3 linked regions of the Arabidopsis thaliana genome follow. The protein of the gene in region 2 interacts with the protein of the main gene of each other region in a pairwise test. Each region holds a gene or a part of one and is shown on either strand. Other genes may lie near its edges.

Region 1 (3,965 bases), on a different chromosome or scaffold from region 2:
ATGATTGCCAACAGAAAGTCAAGTTTCTGATGATTTTGTTCCTAATTTGCAATGATATTTCGTACTTAGCTTCTATAGCTTATAATAATCGCTAATTGTTGCAATTTAATATCCTATCTCCAAAAAATGCATGACTCACACAAATCAAAATAAAACGTAATATATATAGTTATTATACATGTTTTCCAAACGTTATTTTTAACATTTTAGTTTAAATGTATTAGTATTTAGTATATACGCATTGATTTAGATACTAATGGAGATACTATTACATTTTAATATTAATATTTTACCTTTTATTTTTTTTGTTAATAAAAAATAAAACTGCATACTAATATATTTTTATAACATGAAACAGCATAGAATTTTTTTAATTAAAATTCATCAATGGGTCTCCCAAGAAATGGGCAAAGCATTGGGCTCCTACACATGGCAAACAATTCCAAAAAGGAGATAAAAACAAAAAATGAAGCCTTCACCAAATGGGAGGATCAGATCTTGTTGAAGACCACTAGCAATGATTCGAAGCAATAATACCAGCAAATACATGACCTACGGCGTTGCGGCAGTGGCACTGAACCGGAACCATCGACGGAAGTATTCGGTTCACATCTCCGCTCCCTTTCCGACGACCCACCATACCCGCAACAAGTCTCACACAATGTTTAAGCTCAATTTCCGACAAAATTGTTAGTATACATATACTTATAGACCAAGTGGATTGGATATCGTTAGTTAGTCACATTCTTTTCTTTATGATTAAGCCAAACGCAAGCTTGACTAAACTAATCATTCTCTACTTTTACTAAACACAGCTTGCGCTCCAGCCCCCACCCATTTGTTGAGTTCAAACTCGAAATCTTTCTTGTCTTCCCTACATAATGTATATATCATGTAAATTTGTTACCAATTCTTTGATTCTTTCAGTAATCAACAAGTGCTTATAAACTCAATAACAAGGTGTTTGCGTAATAAATATATTAAAAATAATTTTACTACTTTTAACTTCAAAATTAAAATGGCATCCTTATGAAGGGCTCTTCCTTGTCAAACTTGTTCATGCCTTTTTCTTATCAATCTGTTCTCGGAGCATTTTCTCTGCGAGTTTTCTCTTTGAAGTCTCTTCCCTACCACCTTGCTAAAAGATTCCTCTCCACTTGTTTGTTCCTAGTAAATCTTGTACTGTATAATAAGGTCTCTCTCGGATGTCCTCTTCCACCGTTTCTCTCCCAAAATTTTCTCCCTACAACTTTTTTTTAAGAACAAGTGTGAATCAAGTCCAAAAAAGTTGATCTTTATATCATCTTTTTAAAAACTCCTCTTAAAATGTTATTTATTTAATGTTTATTAAATATAATATATTTCTCTTTTTTATTTTTTTAATTTTATTTTTGAATAACAGGAGGTTCTGGACCGAAGTCCGTAATCCCTCTAGACCCGAAACCACATAATGTAATATTAGTTTCGTCTCAAGCGTCACTCGAACTGGCGACCTCTAAGGTTCGCCTAAAATCTTTACCAATTGAGCTAACGACACTTAATTTATTTTTTTAATAATCACAACTCCTTTGCATATATATTTATTTTTAGTTATAAAAAAATCTTTTTATTTTATTGTTAAAGAAAAATAATTTTATTGTTGCAAATTGTAGATTTGTCAAAGATTCATTAGATTTGTCACTAAATATAATACCCAACCAAAATGATATCTAAAAGAATTAATGAAACGTGAGTATATTTGTTTTCAACGACTAAAGAAACATATAAACAAAACTTATAAAAATATGAAATTGTTTTTGATAATTTCAAATGACAAAATAAAAAACTACAAACAATTTTCATCTCTAAGATTTCATTTTTTTCACCAAATAAAACCTACGAATATGAGTTCTTAAACAATAAAATAAAATCACCACACTCTTTAAAAAAAAAGAAACTTATACGAAAATAAGACTTATTCTCTTGAATAAGTAACAAATCCAATAGTTTATAACAGAAACTCCAGGTCATCTTTCTTTAAATATAAACAGATTCCATTTTTTGCATTATACACCCTTCCACTCTCACGTATATATATTTCTTACTTTACCCTTACTATTTAATATAATTCCATGTTTACCCTTCATCTTCCCTCTAAAATCCAACACAGAGAGATTTCAACGCTAAATAAAGAGAGAGAGAGTCTAAAAGCTCGTCGTCGTCTTCAATGGTGAATCTCAAACCAATTGGATAAATAAAACAAAACAAAAAAAACTTCACAAAAAAAAAAAAAAGATCCAAATTACAACCATGCCTTCGGAGTTAACACCAGAAGAACGATCGGAACTAAAAAACTCAATCGCCGAGTTCCACACATACCAACTCGATCCAGGAAGCTGTTCATCACTCCACGCGCAACGAATCCACGCGCCTCCGGAACTCGTCTGGTCAATCGTACGACGATTCGACAAACCACAAACATACAAACACTTCATCAAATCCTGCTCCGTCGAACAAAACTTCGAGATGCGCGTCGGATGCACGCGCGACGTGATCGTCATCAGTGGATTACCGGCGAACACATCAACGGAAAGACTCGATATACTCGACGACGAACGGAGAGTTACCGGATTCAGTATCATCGGAGGCGAACATAGGCTGACGAATTACAAATCCGTTACGACGGTGCATCGGTTCGAGAAAGAGAATCGGATCTGGACGGTGGTTTTGGAATCTTACGTCGTTGATATGCCGGAAGGTAACTCGGAGGATGATACTCGTATGTTTGCTGATACGGTTGTGAAGCTTAATTTGCAGAAACTCGCGACGGTTGCTGAAGCTATGGCTCGTAACTCCGGTGACGGAAGTGGTTCTCAGGTGACGTGAAAATGAAGAAAAAAATATGATTTAATTTCTTTTATTAAAAACAAAATCCAGAAATGTTATTTATGTTGCTTCGTATAAGATTCTCTTCTTCTTTTGTCTGTTTTTGCTTTTTTAACCTCATATAGTCATATTTTTACCATTTTCTTATGATGAGAATGACGTGCAAGGTTATTTTGGGCATTTTATGTTTGTGGATAACTATGAATCTTTCCATTTTCGTTAGGTATATTCCGGCGAGTAAGTCAAAATTTTCGGCTATGCAACAAACTCTCATAAAAAGTTACAAAAAAACTTACTATAAAGTTACCAAAGGTTTATTTGACACAAAAAAAAAAAAAGTAAATAACCATTCGTGTAAGGTTTTACTTTTCTTTGAATGTAAAAAAAAAGAAAGGTTTTCCTTTTCTTTTCCTTTTGTTAAAAAAACATGGGGATAAGATTTTTTTCACGTGTTTTTTGCTGTTATTGCTTTAAGTATGGTAGATTTAGTGTGTGATTCGTATGAAATTGTAATTACTTTTCATAGATTTCGCTTTTTTATCGATTACTTTTACATAATGTCCATGAACAAAACTTTAGTTTTTTTTCCCATGAACAAACTTTGTAACATATCGGTTGCCAAAAAAAAAAAAAACTTTGTAACACATGAACTCCCGATTTATTAACCAAACAACAACTTTTTTAAGAGTGGTAAAACGATAAAACAAATTGTGAAGGAAGAGATAGAGAAGACTAAAAAAACCATAAGTGGAAGTGTTTTAAGTTTTAACGAAGATGGTTTTAAAAGTGTGTGCCGTTTTTCATTCAGATTCGGGTTACCTTTTGCACTATAGTCAGGCTAGTGTCCCACTTGACTTGAATATATCACCATCATGTTTTATATAATTTATTGTTACAAAATTTGATGTGGGGAATCCATTATATGATACTATAACAATTTGTATATTTTATTATCGAATTTCAGCTGGATCGAGACAATAGCGAAAGGCCACTTTTATATTTTGTATAGTACTATTTTTAATTTCCTATTTGCAAACTTAAGACGAAGATCTTCTAATTAAGGCAAAGGTGATGATGATGTTGGTGCAAGTTGTGCCAGC
Region 2 (4,776 bases):
AAGGTTTCCGAATGGATATATTTAAATGGACTCGTTATTATGGACACCAAACCATTGTTTGTTGATTTTTCTTTCGGTTTGCAGAGACCTCTACCTTCAAAACCTTATGGACATGGAACTTTGGTTTCTTTACAAAACACGGTTAATCGAATCTCCTGTTATTATTGACATGGTATATAGAATGAATATAGATAAGTAGAAAGGTTTTTGAATGGATATATTTAAATGGATTCGTTATTATGGACACCAAAACATTGTTTGTTGATTTTTCTTTCAGTTTGAAGAGACCTCCACTTCCAAGACCTTATGGACATGGAACTTTGGTTTCTTTACAAACCACGGTTAATCGAATCTCCTGTTATATGGACATGGTATATAGAATGAATATGAATCAGTAAAAGGTTTTCTGAATGGATATATTTAAATGGACTCGTTATTATGGACACCAAAAAATTGTTTGTTGATTTTTCTTACAATTTGCAGAGACCCCACCTCCAATACCTTATGGACATAGAACTTTTACCAAATTCCTGAGATAATCGAGATCAAATTGTTTAAGAAACTTCTCCAAAAGTTATGGAGACGTGGAGAGAGAGAGAGAGAGGCGCTACAAATCATGGAGAGAGAGAGAGAGAGATTTTATTTATTTTGGGTAAGGATCGTGGAAGAGGAATAACAAAAAAGAGAAATTAAGAATTAAAAACATAAATATTGAATTGAGGGTAAAAAAGTCTTTAAAAAAAAAGAATTAATAGAAAAAGTGTCTATTTCCTATAAACTGCCTCAAACGGAAAAACATTCTCTAAAAGTGCTTAATAGTGGAACATTAATCGCATGACAATATAATAAGACGTAAAATTTTTGGTCTTATCATATGCAAATACTTATTAATAAGGAAATTTTGGTCTTATAATATTGCAAAAACTGATTTTTCTTTGTTTACTATTCATCCCTATCACAATTCACAACATTAACAAAAACTTTCTAATGGATTTTTCTTCAACTCTAGAACATTGCAATTCCTTTTCAACTCTAGAATATCAAATACCGTTTAAAAGACAAAACTATCAGTTAATGATGTCACAAATTACTCAAAAAATTAACACTCTCTTAATAAGAAGAAGACTTGTATTTTAATAATAAGAAGACCTCGTGTGAAACGAGATCAATTACAACTTTATGTATTAGACTTTTTGACAAATTCACAACGGTCATCAAATGGAAACAAACAAAACGAAGGCTCCTCTTCAGGCTCTCAACGGTCACTTGCTTAGAAGCTGCGACTACGACAAGCAAAAATACTCATCCAATGAAAACGACGACGTATAGAACCTAACGGTCGTTTTAAATTCTTTAAGATTCTATTTTTCATTTAATTTAAAAAGGAGAAGAAAAAAAAAGTGAGTCATCAATGAAACACTTCTTTAACACAGATACGTTACCCACATGCCCAATTATTAGCATTCGTTTCCTTTTAGACGTGTTTTTGACTTCATTTGAAATGTCTGTTTTAACCTCACAGAGCAAACCCAATAAATCGCTTACTTCATCGTTTTAGCTATTTTAGACTGTGAATGACCGTTTTACCCTCCAACATTCTCTTTTGTACTATCTGCTGTGTTTTATTGAATTTTATTCTACGTTACAAAGGGCCTTTCTTCTTATTTGCAATACTCCTCTTTTTGTTTATGATAGTTCTAGTCTACTAGACATAATTTGTTTTTATTATTAAATTGACATAAAGTTACCAAAAATTGAATGATTCTTATTTTGGTTATGAAAAAATATTGGAATAAAAAATCTCATGGATATATACATTTTTCATTATTAAGAAAAAATGATATTTTCCTTTATTTTGCCAACAAAAAAAAACTGGTCAACAAGAGTAGGATTCAAGCTAATTTTGTTTTCCTCAAAATAATATCCATTTTGTAGAAAGTAAAAGGACAACATAAATAAAGGAAATGAAAGTTGTAAGGGCATAAATGTTATTTACAAAGTCAAAGAGACTGAAAAACTTTGAATAAAGCTCGATAAACACGGACTCTAATTCATTCAATATTCATTACCTTCTTCTTTCCTTTATATTTAAAAACCTTCTTCTTCTCTCTCTGTACATCGTCACAACAAAAAAAAAACAGAAGGAGAAGAAACAAAAACAATAATCTCAGCAAAAACAAATCTCTACTCATCGAAATCGAAATCAAAATATAGAAACGATGTCTTGCTCCGTCGCCGTATGTAATTCTCCGGTGTTTTCACCGTCGTCTTCTCTATTCTGCAACAAATCTTCGATTCTCTCGTCACCGCAAGAATCTCTTTCTCTAACGCTTTCTCATCGCAAACCTCAGACCTCTTCTCCTTCCTCTCCATCCACCACCGTTTCTTCTCCTAAATCTCCATTTCGTCTCCGTTTCCAGAAACCTCCGTCCGGATTCGCTCCTGGTCCATTATCTTTTGGATCTGAATCTGTTTCTGCATCCTCTCCTCCGGGAGGTGTTTTAAAGAGGAAACGACCTACAAGGCTTGATATACCGATTGGTGTTGCTGGATTTGTAGCTCCGATTTCTTCATCGGCCGCTGTGGCTGCGACGCCGAGAGAGGAGTGTAGAGAGGTTGAGAGAGAAGGTGATGGTTATTCTGTTTATTGTAAGAGAGGAAGAAGAGAAGCTATGGAGGATCGTTTCTCTGCTATCACCAATCTTCATGGAGATCGTAAACAGGTAATTTTAAATTTCAAATTCATTTTTCAGTTTTGGTTTAGAATTGAATTGAATTGGTGATTTTGATTCGATTGATTAGCAATTACAGCTCAAATTAGGGTTTATCATGTGAGATCTACATTGATTGGGTTAATAAGCTATCTAAAATTAGGGTTCTTTGGGGAAAATTGAAATTCTGAATAGAATTAGAAGTTTTACAGAATCATATGAAACAATTGTGTGCTTATTGATGAATCGTGTATTCTAAACGTTGTTTTGCTTTGTGATAATTTCTCAGGCGATTTTCGGAGTCTATGATGGTCATGGAGGAGTTAAAGCGGCTGAGTTTGCAGCTAAGAACTTAGATAAGAACATTGTAGAAGAAGTAGTTGGTAAGAGAGACGAGTCTGAGATAGCTGAAGCGGTGAAACATGGTTACTTGGCAACAGACGCGTCGTTTCTTAAGGAGGAAGACGTTAAGGGTGGTTCATGCTGTGTCACGGCTCTGGTTAACGAAGGGAACCTTGTTGTGTCTAACGCCGGTGACTGTCGTGCTGTTATGAGTGTAGGAGGTGTAGCTAAGGCTTTATCTTCTGATCACCGCCCGTCTAGAGACGATGAACGGAAAAGAATTGAAACCACGGGAGGATATGTTGATACGTTTCACGGTGTTTGGAGAATCCAGGGATCTTTAGCTGTGTCAAGAGGAATTGGAGATGCTCAACTTAAGAAATGGGTTATAGCTGAACCAGAGACAAAGATTTCGAGAATCGAGCATGACCATGAGTTTTTGATCTTGGCATCTGATGGTTTATGGGATAAAGTGAGTAACCAAGAAGCAGTAGACATTGCTCGTCCTCTCTGCTTAGGAACCGAGAAGCCATTGTTGTTAGCTGCCTGTAAGAAGCTTGTCGATTTATCTGCTTCACGAGGCTCGTCTGATGATATCAGTGTGATGTTGATCCCTTTACGCCAGTTCATATAGAAAAGAGAGGCATCTTAGAAGATTTTAGATATATGATAAACGTTAGAAATTTGGAGGTTTTATATGATTTAGTTCTTTTGTTTAACTTGATCCATTCATTTATTTATTCTTTCTAACTTAGTGAACAAAGCTAAACTCATTGTGGCTTATGATTACTTGTATGATTCGAGCATTGGCCGAAATTAATCTAATAATCGGTTCGTTATATATCTTGTCATATGTTTCAAGATCCTGCAAATTTCTCTACAGTACAATACCAACACAGTGCTTGGAAGAGATTGACTCAATCTGAATCAAAGATTCCTTGTTTTGATGAATTTCAATTCACAACTCCAACATACATGAAGTTCATATTGAGATGCAACGTGAAAGAAATCGACATGACAAGTGATCCTGGTCAAAGAGTCACACGGCCAATATTGTTTTAAAGTGGAACGAAGGTACAAGAGAAGTTGATCGAGAAAACAAGTTCAACCATAAAGAGAGTTTTCTTAGGAAAAAGGAGAAAAACAAACAAAGTCCTCAAGTTTGACAGGCTAACATAAACCATTGGGCCGGACACAAACCCGAATAGCCCAAAATATATTATTTGTTCACATGTGTAGTTTAATTAGTTTTGGTCTTGGATCTCAAATTCTCAATCTGTTTTCATGCAAACGTAAGATATGTTTTTATTTTGTCTACTAGTTAAAATCTCGTTAAATCTATTCATTTTCGTGTTTTTCACATTCAGTCTGGTTAGACATTGAGACCAATACAAACCACTTAGAATTTTGGCTGTGGTTGACATATATATCCTAACAATGTTGTTAATTGTGACAATGTTGACATGGATTAAGAACCATAATTTTCGATGAATTACATATTAACAAGAGTGAAATGATGTGCAAATTAAATTGAACATATACATTTTATGTACATATAAGAAACAAGCAAAAACAAATATGTGCGGTGATAATGATTACCGACATGGATAAGCCGATAAAAGGATAAGAAAAATAAAACAAAAGATTGAGTTTGTGAAAAGAGGAAGAAGACAATGGTCAAAGAAAGAACGTAAAAACAACACGTGAATTACAAACACATGTT
Region 3 (3,851 bases), on a different chromosome or scaffold from region 2:
GATAATAAAATAACCTTGTTGTGATTATCTAGAAAAAGGGCTGTAGAAGAAACAAGAAGCATCTCTGTTTTATGTTCCCAAATGAACCAGAAACTCTTAGAAACTTCTAACACCTCTTAGAAACCAACCTTTTAGCATAAACCCTAATCCCATCTTTATAAACCAAACACTTCTTGCCTTTTTCTTGCAAACTCACAAAAAAGAAGACAAGAAGACAAAAATTAAGAAATTTACCGATTTGAAAACAATGGCTCTAGCTCGTCTGGCTTTGAGAAACCTTCAACAAAAACTGTCTCCTAGTTTGATGGGTCAATCTTGTGAAAGAGGTTTGGTCGGAAATCGACATAATCCAATGAAGCTAAACAGATTCATGGCTACTTCGGCTGGTGAACAAGAGGATAAGATGAACACAGAAGTGAGTGTGTCTGAGAAGAAATCTCCTCGACAGAATTTCCCCCGGAGACGTGGCCGAAAAAGCCTCTGGCGTAACACCGACGATCATGGCTACTTCACTCCCACCCTAAATGGTACGTTTGTCATTTTAGTTCATTATTGATATACCTATTTAGCAGAAAATTTCAATAGTGTCACAATAATAATATTTTCGAAATAAATTATATAAAAAAAATTCAACATTTAAGTGTAAAATATATCCCATAAAAGAAAAATTAAGAAGAAAATTTGAAATTCTAGAATCATAAAAATACATCAAATTTTAAATTTACATTTTCATTGCATTAAATCTCATGAAACATAATTAATGTAAACCTCTATTTTTGCTTGAATTGAATTTTTTCTTCTTCTTAAAACAGAGTTCTTTCCTCCGACTATAGGAAATACTCTGATACAAGCAACAGAGAATATGAACAGAATTTTCGACAACTTCAACGTGAATCCATTCCAACTAATGGGTCAAGTGAAAGAGCAAGACGACTGTTACAAGCTCAGATACGAGGTTCCAGGGCTAACCAAAGAAGACGTGAAGATCACGGTAAATGATGGAATCTTGACGATTAAAGGAGATCACAAGGCGGAGGAAGAGAAAGGCTCACCTGAGGAAGACGAGTACTGGTCTTCAAAGAGTTATGGTTACTACAACACGAGCTTATCGTTGCCTGATGATGCTAAGGTTGAGGACATTAAGGCGGAGCTCAAGAATGGTGTGCTTAATCTTGTGATTCCTAGGACGGAGAAGCCAAAGAAGAATGTTCAGGAGATTTCTGTTGAGTAGAAGAGATACGGTGTCGTTTTTGTGTTCTTTGATGGACTAAGCAAATTAATGTTGTACCTTTTTTATGTTTATGCGAATGGAATCAGTTATTAAGTTGCTAATTAACTTAGTTCATTTGCGCAAACAAAAGAAGCTAGAAAATACATTATAGACTAATTGAACAAGCAAAGAATGAACCAGTTTTGTGTTTGTAATGAGAATGGAATAAATTGTTATTCAGCATAGTTAATTTTCGCAAAAGAAAGAAGCCAAAATTAATTAAAAGAAGCAGCAAATGTTGTGTCCCTTTTATGTTTTCTATGCGAATGGCTCAATGGAGTAAATTGCTAATTCACGTCATGAACACAAAAATGTTGATATATTAAACAAGAAGTCCATTTTTGTACCTCATATCAAAATTTTATTTGTAAATTTTGTATTAATAATTGTGGATTTGCTATACTATACTATGAAATATTTTTCTTTATAGACAAGTTATGTTATACATTAAATTATTTATTTATTAATAAGTACAGTATTTTAGTGTATTGTCAGAGTTCAGTTTCTTTAAAGAAAACACAATATTTTTTTTTTTTGTCGTCAAGAAAACACAATATTTATGTTAAACAAAAATGCATGATATTTCAATAGTTTGTGGAAAATTATAGAAAATATTTCATTTTCCTTCTTTTAGTTTGGTATTAAGAAGGAAAAAACCAAAAACATTTTTTTGATAATGTATACATAAATTAAAATTAAAATAATGAGAAAACAAAACAAGGTCCAAAATACCTTGTGAAGAAAATGGCGACGGCGTTTGCCAACACGACTTCAAGCTCCAACCTTTACCTCCATCGCTGCCGTAAAAACCATCCTCTTCCATCTCCGTCGTTCTTTTCACCGTTCCGGTCGTCTCCACTTCCTTCTCAGACCCTTTTCCTCGTCCCCACTCCAAAACCTGTACGACGCATCGCGGTCGCTCCTCTCGGCCCTCCAACGCCGCCTAGTCCCGACCCACCTCCGCCTAAAAACACGACTGAGCTCACAAGTTCGTCTTTCCCTTCTTACCCTTAAAACTTCAATGTTTCAACTCTGAGTTCTGATTTTGTTTACTGCCAATTCTATTTTTCAATCTTTCCTAATTCGATGAAATTGCATTACGGAATTCGAATTAGGAGAATGAAGGTGGTTTAACTGCTATTGATTCGTAGATAAAGATGTTAATCTTAGTCCTCAAGATCGATTACTGTTCATTGCTAAAGTTTTGATCTTTGTGACAATTTATAGACTTTTACTCTTGTTAAGCATTAAGGATTTATAAATCTCCTCCTTTTACAACTTGTGAATGTCTTCCAAAAGTTCCACCATTTTCTTTTCCCTACAGGTTTAGTCATTGGTTGCAATACGAGAGCAATCTTCTTAACAATTTGGATTCATAGTTGTTGTTTGGTATCACATTTTGTGTAGGTCTTGTGGGAGTAGCGTCGATGATTCAAGACCGTGTAAAGATCTTTCTTTCAGTACTAATTTGGATCTCTCTCTTCTTTTGGGCTTCGGCTTTACAAGGAAGAGGCAGCAAAGGTAATGGTAAAGGGAAGAAGGGTTCACGCTTCAAATAGTATTAGTTAGATTGGTGTGGTGATGATGATGATGATTGATGAAAACTCCTCTACACGTTTGTGTATATATACAGAGGAAATATTCTTCCAAGTAAAGCAAATTTCTTGTCAGACTACAGTTTTATACTAGAAACTAGATTGTTCTCTTCTTACGATATCTCTAGCTTAGAGCTATAGAGATTACTCTACTGTGATGAAACTAAAGTAGTTTGCATTTAAGTCAAAATGCCAAATCAATATCATTGTTTATTGAAAGCTGTTTCAGATTGTAAATGACTAGATGTGTTTGGTGTGTGCTTGATTCAGCCAAACGGTAAACCGCACCGTTTCTTTGATTTGAATGTTTGTTGTATAAAATGGGCCTTTAGATATGTTATATAACTTGTTTGGGCTTCAACATACTCTTTTATTGGGCCTCTCTATATAATATAATATTTCCAAAGTTGTATTTAATTATTATTTGATTTATATTTAAAACAGTGGTTGTTTATTCATGATATGAAAAAAGAAATAACTGGATTTAGGTAAACCTTATTCAATACTGGGACAATGAATTAACCAGCTCATGATTAGTTGGACCTGTTTTGGTTAAAGGCTGGTAGTAAGTTTAGAAACAGAAATTTATGATAAGAGCCTAACATTTTGTTCTGACCACACTGAGTAATTTAACAATCTATCTAAATTAAGATTTTATGCTATGTTTAATTTATATTTGTTCTGATTATAGCAAATAAATTTCCATATCTAGAGATCTTCTTCATACACAATAAAAAAAACTAGTATTTGAACTTTTGTATGTATTAAAAATTGCAAGATTTTGTAAGTACAGATTCACCAAGGTGAGGTGTGTGATTAGGAAACTTTGATTAGTTGTCATGTGTCATCAACAGGCCATGAAAAGGAAATCTTTGAAATTCAAAAAACAATACCTTTTGATGAAATTATTACTATATAAATACTATATGTGACTATGTGTGGATATGCACAATCATTCCCACTAATAGTTTAATAAAGTGTATAAT

The links. Proteins that work in one complex are often made in the same cells at the same time.
Region 1: the proteins of AT2G30020 (region 2) and PYR1 interact in a protein complementation assay, tested with the Arabidopsis thaliana proteins (one large-scale study listed by BioGRID).
Region 3: the proteins of AT2G30020 (region 2) and AT1G52550 interact in a protein complementation assay, tested with the Arabidopsis thaliana proteins (one large-scale study listed by BioGRID).

Annotation. Positions count from the first base shown.
Region 1 is NC_003075.7:9,926,503-9,930,467, forward strand, and holds PYR1 (Polyketide cyclase/dehydrase and lipid transport superfamily protein), read left to right. Parts: upstream 1-2,084; 5' UTR 2,085-2,289; coding exon 2,290-2,865; 3' UTR 2,866-3,373; downstream 3,374-3,965. UniProt on the Arabidopsis thaliana protein: Receptor for abscisic acid (ABA) required for ABA-mediated responses such as stomatal closure and germination inhibition. Inhibits the activity of group-A protein phosphatases type 2C (PP2Cs) when activated by ABA. Can be activated by both (-)-ABA and (+)-ABA.
Region 2 is NC_003071.7:12,812,218-12,816,993, forward strand, and holds AT2G30020 (Protein phosphatase 2C family protein), read left to right. Parts: upstream 1-2,053; 5' UTR 2,054-2,219; coding exon 2,220-2,723; intron 2,724-3,000; coding exon 3,001-3,687; 3' UTR 3,688-4,143; downstream 4,144-4,776. UniProt on the Arabidopsis thaliana protein: Protein phosphatase that negatively regulates defense respones. Inactivates MPK4 and MPK6 MAP kinases involved in stress and defense signaling.
Region 3 is NC_003070.9:19,572,163-19,576,013, reverse strand, and holds AT1G52550 (uncharacterized protein), read left to right. Parts: upstream 1-1,954; 5' UTR 1,955-2,014; coding exon 2,015-2,258; intron 2,259-2,677; coding exon 2,678-2,829; 3' UTR 2,830-3,259; downstream 3,260-3,851. Other genes in the region: AT1G52560 (HSP20-like chaperones superfamily protein), read left to right, coding at 248-527, 813-1,231.